Caenorhabditis elegans: one gene and its partner. The protein of the gene in region 2 purifies or fractionates together with the protein of the main gene of each other region. This does not show direct contact. Each region holds a gene or a part of one and is shown on either strand. Other genes may lie near its edges.

Region 1 (4,324 bases), on a different chromosome or scaffold from region 2:
TTTCGAAGCCAGCAACATGCGAGCTGATTCAGTGTTGTGTCGAAAAGTCGGAGGGTTGGTCAGTCAGCGAGTTGGAACGTTTGTCTTCTGTTCTATCACATACAATTGAACGATTCCGGTGAGTTATATGATTTTTTATTACCTCGCTGTTCTTTTTGTTTGAACTAAAAGGAAATGTTAAGGATTTTTGGAACGTTTTAAAACATAGAAAACATTTATTATGAAGGTTGTTTATATTTTTGAAAATTTCAAAAATTGATAATTTCGTTATTTTGAAAAAAAATTGAAATTTTCAATAATTTCCGGTTAATTGAAAAAATTTCAATTCAATTGAAAAAATGCTCGTAATTTTCTGTACATTTCTTCGGCTTTTCCGTGATTTTCCTATTTTGATATTTTCGATATTCTCTGAAAAATCCCGAAAAAATTGTAGTCACAATGTAGAATAAAATAAACAATATTTATTTTTAACAATTAAATATTATTCAGGGACGAATGGAACCGCGAAAATCTACCAGCCCAACTTACCCAAATTGTACGTGAATGGCAAACAGCTGACGATTCGAACAATACAATTGTTAATGGAACCCTCAACAAATCGAATGGAAATCTTGCCAATGGACACTAAATGATGTCCCATCCTCCTCTTCCAATCTACCTCCGTTTATCGATTTTATAATTTCAAACTGAAATCCGTTTTATCATAATTTCCACCAGTTTTCCTCTTGTCAAAAACCCCTTTGTGCGAAAGAAAACTTTCAAAATAAGTGCGGCTACCGTGATACTCACCTATTTTTCTTTGTCCATTTTTATTCAAATTAAATCTCTACCATAATTAATTCCCCTCCAATTTATTCGAGTGAGCATTGCCTGCCTCTCGGGTGTATTCACGTGCCCTTCTATTATTTCATTAATCTTTTCCATTATCTTTAACCTGGTCTTTCGAAAATGAGTAAATTGTGAATCATTCGATGTTTAATGCTAATACCTATTTTTGTTTTAATGATCCGTTTAACTTCGGATATTTATATATTTTCGATTTTATTTTAAATTTATAATATATTCAATCATCTAAACTTTTTCTTTCAGATGGACTTTCAGAACAGAGCTGGAGGAAAAACGGGAAGCGGAGGAGTGGCTTCGGCCGCCGATGCTGGTGTTGATCGACGGGAACGGCTCCGCCAGTTGGCTCTAGAGACAATTGATCTTCAAAAGGATCCGTATTTCATGCGAAATCACATTGGAACGTACGAATGCAAGCTGTGTCTTACTCTTCACAACAATGAAGGATCTTATTTGGCACATACACAAGGAAAGAAGCATCAAGCGAATCTTGCACGGCGTGCCGCTAAAGAACAATCTGAACAACCATTTCTACCAGCTCCACAGAAAGCTGCAGTTGAAACTAAAAAGTTTGTGAAAATCGGACGTCCTGGATACAAGGTAACAAAAGAACGTGATCCAGGAGCTGGCCAGCAAGCACTTCTCTTCCAAATTGATTATCCGGAGATTGCTGACGGTATTGCGCCACGTCATCGATTTATGTCTGCTTATGAGCAAAAGATTCAGCCTCCAGACAAGAGATGGCAATACCTCTTGTTTGCTGCTGAGCCGTATGAAACGATTGGATTCAAAATTCCATCAAGGTGAGGCTTTACAACATTTTAGCACTTTTCTATCTCATAGTTACGATTAAAAAAATTGTATATACCAAGTAATTTTTTCCAGAGAAGTTGACAAATCTGAAAAATTTTGGACGATGTGGAACAAAGACACGAAGCAATTCTTCTTACAAGTCGCATTCAAATTGGAACGACTCGATGATCAGCCGTACTATTGATACTCTATGTTTTTATCTTTTTGATTTCAAAATTCAAAACAATTTTTTCGTGTTTTTCGATGATCTAACAATAAATTATTTTCCTTTTTTTTAATGATGATATTTTATTTAAATCAAGTATAGGTTGACTGATCCGTCTACAATGTCTATTCAATTAAAATTATAGTTTTCATAGTTTAAAAAATCAGTTTCAGATGGCGAAGAAGGTTGTCAAAAGAAAAGCTGAAGCAGTGTCCGCTGACGCAGAAGCCGTTGCAGAAGCTCCGAAGAAAATCAAGAAGCAGAAACCAAGTCTTCCAGTCTCTGAACCTGATAATTATCAGGCTGGTGGATTATCAAGTCTCTTCGGAAAGTCGTCAGAAGGAGCAGCAGTACAAGAGGAAGTTGTGAAGGGAGATAAAGTAATTGAAAAACCTAAAAGAAGAAAGTATGATCCAAAAAAAAAGGCTGAAGAAGAGAAGGCAGCTGATGCTGCTGCTGCTGCTGAAGAAGTTGCACCTGAAACAGAAGGAGAAGAGAAAAAAGATGAAAATAAGGAAGGAAAGCGAGACAGAACGAAGCAAAGAGAGAATAGAACTCTTCAAAAGTCAAATGCACGTGCTTCAGCTGCTGAAAATGCTCTGACTGTTTTTGTTGGAAATATGCCATTGACAATGAACGAGAAATCAGTCCGTCGAATTTTCTCCGACTTTGGAACTATTTCCTCTGTCCGTATGAGAAATCTGCTTCCTGCGAATGAGAAATTGACGAAACGAGTCACTCATTTGACAGGAAAATTGAATGACAAACAGAGTTCTCTCACGTTCTATGTGAAATTCGGAGCAGAAGAATCAGTGGAGAAAGCTCTGAAGTACAATGGAACCAAGCTGGACGATCATGTGATTCGTGTTGACAAAGTTGGAAGTAAGAAGAAAGAATTTGGAAAGGATATGGCCATTTTTGTTGGAAACTTGCCGTTCGAGATTACCGAAGATGCTCTCATTACTTTTTTCTCTGCACAAATCGGACCTGTCGAGGCTGTCAGAATTGTCAGAGATAAAGATACTGGAAAGGGAAAAGGATTCGCGTTTGTCAATTTCAAACAAGATTCTTCTGTGAGTCTTGCATTGAGCATGGAGACTATCAAAATGGAAAAACGCGACTTGCGCATTACAAAAGTTATGAAGAAGGGACATTTGACGGTTTGTTTTTTTTCTTCGAATAGTTCTTCAATTTATAATTTGTTTTTCAGAAGATCCAAACTGCTAAAAAGCGAACATCTCACGGAAAGAAGAACCAGAATGAAATTACTGGAAAATTGCACAAGTTCAAGTTCTCCACCAAAAAAGAAAGGTTTGTAAATATGTGGCATTTTGTCAAAGGGCCCGCGCGCGCAATGTCATTGCCCGGTTCTTCTCTATTTAAATCGTTCAGCGTAGCGCAGTTGGGTGTGCGTTTGTACTCGAGGTCGGCGCCCACGAGTTCGACCCCCACTGCTTGCACGACTGCAACCTGCTTTCGGAACTTTACCGTCTGCGGTACTTGTAGTGCTATATGAGCGTGGGCCCTCCGTGTGCGTGTAATTTAATTGAACTAGCACTCCGTTGGTCACCGGATAATTTTGTTTTTCTTTTCAGAACAACTGAGCAAAATGATCGTCGTGCCTTGAAGAAGTCAGCGAAGAAAGCCATTGCAAAGAAGAAGGCTGCAAAGAAGGGACGTCTGATGGCATAGGTTTTTGAATATTTTGTTTTCATCTATAACTTTGTTGATTTGTTTTGTTTTGTTATTTTTATCACTATAAAAACAGTTTTTTAAATCTAATATTTTATTCATCAAACAAAAAACTATCACAGAGAAAAATACAATAAATGCAAAAATTACTCACAGAGAGGGAAGAAGGCAATAAATGAAAAACACCCATGAAGAACAAGGAAGCAAAATGAAGCGAAAGAAAACATAAACGAGAGTAGTCGAAACTAGAGATCCAAGAAATACATAATTAATGAATGTTAATAAAAAAGGAACCCAAAAATCTATTTATGCCATTGATTCTTTGTCCATGGCTGGTTTTGAAGAATGTACATTTGATACAGGGGGCGGAGCAACTACAGTAACCTCAGTCGGCTCATCATCGTCACCATCGTCCCAGTTTCCGTAGCTGGCAACTTCTGCTGTTCGAGTCTTGTTCAATCGATCGTTCAACTCTTTCAATGCTTTTTGTCTGAAAAAATTAGCATTTTAACTGGAACAAATCAAAGAAATCAAATATTTACCTCCGTCTCTCCGAGTCTTTTGCAGAATTCTCCAGCGCAGGCAAGTTGATTCCAACGGATCCTGATTGTAGAGAGTGAAGATCAACATGACGAACTTGTCGTTTGCAGACGCCCATTCGAGCAAGGGTTCTGAAGCAAACTTTTCCAATGAGAGTGAAGAAGAGTTGAGTGCGAGACGGGAAGAGGCTGGCCCACGTGAAGTGCTCACTGCCGTCTCCATAGATTTCGT
Region 2 (5,087 bases):
CAAACACTCCCATACACCTCACGACGCAAAAGACGCTCCACAATGTACAATCGTCTGCGTCTCCACGTTTGTAACAGTCTTGACTTTCATTCATGGCGGCTTTTCAAAAAGCAATAAGATACATTGACCAGGTTACAAAATATAACTTTTTATCAGAACTTTTCGTAACTTTCTCCGACATAGAAATATACAAACTGAAAAAGCTTCGTTTATGTAATAATTTATTCGACCAATTTTAATACAAATTAATTACAAAACTATGCTCAAACATGGAGATTCAATATCCGTCATTAGAGAAATGAATGTTATAATCTGGGTATTTCTGCTTTAAAATGTCAACAGCAATTTGATGATCAGCTCGTCCATAGCCATACGAATATCCATACACAAGAATATCTTTTCCAATTTCATCGTGCTTGATTCGACCACCGCCCACACATTTCAGCTTTAAGTCAGATGGTGCAGAACTCTGAAAAAATGTACAATTTATTTCAAAATGAGCGATAGAATTTGTAATAGTTTTGAAAATACTACCTTCGTCTCCTGAAGAATATCGTCATGAAAGCTGCATCTATAATATCCGCGGACTACAAATTTCTGCTGCTTTGTTGAATTGTCGGTTACCTGAAATTATTTAAGATTTCCATAAATTAATCCCAATCACAATAGGATAAGTATCAAAAATTGATCTTGAAAAATGTTCCACTGGGAATTAAACATGGATTCCACGGATTTTCCCTCTTCTTTTTTAGAAACTAGCGGCCTCAAAGAGGAATAAAAGTGTGCATGTTCCATATCTCAAGGGACCGATTCTGTGTGATGGGCTCCTTCTTGCTCTTCGGAGTATCGCAGATATCTCGGCTCATTCTTCGCCCCGCTTATTCACGGCCTCCCAACAACTACACTTTCTAACATTTTGACATACTTGTAAAACTCATGTTTCGTTTTTGGAAGAAGAAGTAATTAATATTTAAACAAAGTTGAACCTTGTTTGAAATGATATATGCTCTAAAATTATGGCAATATTTTTAGTGTTAGATTAAATTGCAAAATGTAAAAGTTGGTGGAGCGAAAATGAGGATTTTGTTTGAAAATGTCAAAAACCGTGTAAAATTCAGAAATGCCACACAGAAAAAGCGAATATAAATCCCACTCACTCAATCGGATTGGTTCAAAAGTGTGTGGAGTAAATCACTGATTGGTTACAGTCCTGATTTTGGAGGGAATTCAAACAGTGAGATTATCGAAAATTTGAAAAACAACATGTTAAAAGTTGGTTTTTCAAATTTCTACATTTTTTCAATTTTTCATTTGTGGTATTACTAAATTTCAGATGATTTTTGAGATTTTTAAAGCAGCAAAAAGCGTTGCTAATTCGCTGAAATAAGGTGGTACAATCAAAATTTTCAACTTAAAACCTCAGAATAAAAGTTTCACTTTCAAGTTTTTTTGTTGATAATAACGCCAGAAACAAATAAAACTCCGGAATGCAATAAAACATCAATTTTTGAACATATCAAAATCCCTTAGAAGTATTCTTTCTTCAATTTGTGTACATACCTCAATTCTACCCAATTCGTATTTCCAGGTCCCATCTCATATTTCATTCCTTCCACTTTGTCCTCTACTTTTTTTCTTTCAAAAACTTATTGATTTCTAGTTTCCACTTTTCGTGTAGTTGGCAAATGATTCGGAGGTCCGACGTCTTTTTTTTCCACCCCGCCAAAATTTTCCGGCCCCAGAAATGATTGATTACCATATTTTGTGTTTGCAAACAAGTAATCCTATTGTCAGAATTATTGCATATACTCTGGAAAATCGTGCAGCAGTTTTCCTTCCGAAATGAGCATTTTTCAGGTGGAAAACGAAAAAATGGCCAGATTTCTATCATTACATGTACTTTTAATTGGATCTGTAGTACTTTATATTATACTTGGAGCTATTGTATTTCAAATGTTGGAAGGAGAACATCTAGATGTAAGTATTCAAATTTATATAAGAAAACTCATTTTTTTGGCAGAATTTTTCTGATTTCAATCCAAAAAAACATTTTGGACCAAAAATGGTTGATAAGTTTTTTGAAACAATTTTTCGTAGGTGGAGTAAAGGAGCAAATTTCAAAAAAAGTGTGTGGTTTTTTCTATAAATTATAGCAAATGGATCGCAATGACGAAATATAATTGTAAAAAAATGTAAAAAATAAATGATTTATTTTCACACTACTCCACCAAATACTTTCAAAAACTTGAAAGTTTCAAAATTGAAGGCGCTAAAAAAAGATCACATGGCAAAAATAGAACAAAATGCAAAAGACTACGTGGATAAGTTATGGAGTGTTGCAAAACGAGACCGAGATAAATACAAGGTTAGATGGATTTTTCAAAGAGACATTAAATATTTCAAAATGTTCAGAATGTGGAAGATTTGATAAAATCAGTAAAAGAAGATACTGTAGATGATTTCAATGATTACGTGGATACTGTATTCTATGCACATCGAGCTGTAAGGCACGGATATGATGAGGTGAGCATCTAGGAATTATTCTAAAATTGGAACATTTAATACAGGATTCACCCACTTGGGATTTTGCAAATTCGGTATTCTTCACCACAACAATGCTTACTTCGATTGGTTACGGGTATGTGGCACCAAGCACATTTGGAGGTCGACTTTTTGGAGTTATTTATTGCTTAATCGGTAGTTTTAACTATATAAAATTTTCTATGCAAATAAAATTTTAGGAATTCCGCTAACACTTGTTACTGTGGCGAACGTTGCAAAGTTTCTTTCCGAAACAATATTCTTTCTTCACTACGAACTATGGAACAAATGCCTTGAATGGAAAAGAAAACGAAAAGGAGAGGTTGAAGCAGATCCTCTTCAACCAATGTTTGGTGATGATGAAAATGAAGAAGAGATACTTGATCGTGTTCGACTGGTTCGATTCCCACCATTAACTGTATTTTTCTTTGTATTTGTATACGGATGCATTGCTGCATGGGTGGTACGGTATTGGGAGACATGGACATATGTAGAAAGTTTATATTTTATATTTATCAGTATTCTTACTGTAGGTAAGTCTATAAATATATCTATTGTAAAACTTGATACTAATTCTTATTTTAGGATTCGGTGATATAAGGCCTTCACCTGGTAATATCTGGGTCACTTTGGCATTTGTAGTAGGTACGTTGTAAAATTATAGAGAATTCAATCATTTGAAATATTACAGTGGGAGTTATTCTCACTACAATGTGTATGGACGTTGTCGGTAGAATGTATTTGAAAGAGATTCACTATTTGGGTCGAAAACTCAAGAGTAGTAATCCATTCTACTTGCTCCGAGAGGCAAAAGCCAGGTGAGAATAAGTTAAAATCTAAGTGGAAATTCAAATAAATTCTCAGAAGACGACGAGCAGCAATGGCATCATTACTTGCTCAGTTGGCAAAAGGAATGATATTTGCTCATAAAGATTATAACGAGTTGGCCAGGAAGAAATCGAAGAGAAAGAAGGAAAAGAGAAGAGGAAGTCATGTTTGTAAGTTAAAATTACTCAGCGAGTTATTATTAAAAATTCCAAATATTTCAGTGCCAAATGAGAAGTTCATGTTCGCCCGTCTGCCACCAGATCCACCAAGTGATTGCCAAGTTGTCAGTACGTCAGCATATTCAGTAAGACTTGCATGGGCTCCACCATTTTCTCCTGATCCAGACTTGACTTACAACATTCGTTATAGATTGAAGTAAGTATGAAATTTATTAACTCTACTTATGACTCATTTCCCCAGACACAACGAAGATGCAAAAGTACGCGAGCTTCGTGGAATTAAAGGGAATACAGTTGAAATTATGAGCGTTGATTCATGTTCCCTTTATGAATTCCGAATAACTGCTCATAATAAATTCGGTGAAAGTAAAGCTGTGTACTTGGTACAGTATACGGAACCTCAGTTGAGTCCTCAACATATTTTGGCAACACGATTAAATGCGAATACTATTGAGCTGACATGGGAGCCACCATACAAAAAATCACATGAAGTTAAGAATTACGTGGTTTACTTTACGGAAAATCCGAATGCGTCGTTATCAGAATGGGAGAAAATTCCAGTAAATGGAAGACGGGTAATCAAATTAATTTTTAGATGAGTTAAAATACAATTAAACTTTTGAAGGTGGTCTTCCCTGATCTTCGATTCGACTGGTTCTACATGTTTAGGTACTAAAATACTTTGAAATTGCATATTTGAATCTCATTTCAGCGCTACGGCAGTTTTCAAAGATGGACAGAGATCTCCATTATCTCGTGCACTATTTATCAAAACTGACAAGATAGAATTTCACAAGCATTGTAAGTATTGATTAGTTTTAATCGAAAATCTATAATTTTGCAGGCGTTGGCCATTCAAAAACAATCGATGTTATGGATTCAATTTGTGAGAAAGAAGATAATGAAACAACTGCTCTACTCAAACGTGATTATGTTTCTTTTGCCGTTTAATTTTCGTTCTTTTTTTTAGTTTCTAATTTTAAATAAATATTTTTTACTAAAAAAAACTAACTTGAATCAGGATGTACTTGAAAACTCCTTTCGGGTCGATATCCACATCGGCGATGTCAGCGAGCGGCATTGTGGCTAGACACCCTGAAATATTGATTTTTTAAATTAGTAAACATGTATTGAATAACGTACGCGAGACGCTTAGAAGTTTTTTGGCAAGAATTTTGAAAACTGAAAATAAAGGAAGTAGAATAGAAAGGAAGCATGGTTGAATGCGTTCAGAAGTAAATTTTTATAATTTCATTGCGTAGATTTATGAAAACCCAATGCTCTCACACTGTGATAAATACTTTGCGGTGAAATTTCACAGAAAAATTAATCTTGAAAATGATGGTTGCACAGAAACATTAGGATTCATCTTGATTTTGAGAAGCCGAAACATTTTAGATAAATAATATTATTTCAACGATTTTTCAAATATTATCCCATACAAATTTTTTAAATATAAACAGCTTTGTAATGAAGTTCATTTACATAATAAAATAGAAACAATAAATTTGTTGAGACCCGAAGAACTCGGGGGATGTC

The links.
Region 1: the proteins of twk-30 (region 2) and rbm-34 fractionate together in Caenorhabditis elegans (co-fractionation; one large-scale study listed by BioGRID). This does not show direct contact.

The regions. Positions count from the first base shown.
Region 1 is NC_003282.8:12,083,389-12,087,712, forward strand, and holds rbm-34 (RRM domain-containing protein), read left to right. Parts: upstream 1-2,031; 5' UTR 2,032-2,034; coding exon 2,035-3,021; intron 3,022-3,071; coding exon 3,072-3,172; intron 3,173-3,320; exon of another isoform or gene 3,321-3,440; intron 3,441-3,456; coding exon 3,457-3,553; 3' UTR 3,554-3,635; downstream 3,636-4,324. Other genes in the region: lex-1 (Tat-binding homolog 7), read left to right, coding at 1-118, 490-628; repo-1 (Splicing factor 3A subunit 2), read left to right, coding at 1,090-1,646, 1,729-1,840; F11A10.6 (Transmembrane protein 115), read right to left, coding at 3,860-4,043, 4,096-4,324.
Region 2 is NC_003279.8:8,808,418-8,813,504, reverse strand, and holds twk-30 (Fibronectin type-III domain-containing protein), read left to right. Parts: upstream 1-1,857; 5' UTR 1,858-1,872; coding exon 1,873-1,977; intron 1,978-2,266; coding exon 2,267-2,365; intron 2,366-2,412; coding exon 2,413-2,523; intron 2,524-2,567; coding exon 2,568-2,697; intron 2,698-2,741; coding exon 2,742-3,074; intron 3,075-3,126; coding exon 3,127-3,186; intron 3,187-3,232; coding exon 3,233-3,359; intron 3,360-3,405; coding exon 3,406-3,539; intron 3,540-3,590; coding exon 3,591-3,744; intron 3,745-3,789; coding exon 3,790-4,123; intron 4,124-4,173; coding exon 4,174-4,217; intron 4,218-4,260; coding exon 4,261-4,349; intron 4,350-4,392; coding exon 4,393-4,499; 3' UTR 4,500-4,540; downstream 4,541-5,087. Other genes in the region: phip-1 (Sex-regulated protein janus-B), read right to left, coding at 278-469, 535-624, 4,561-4,629.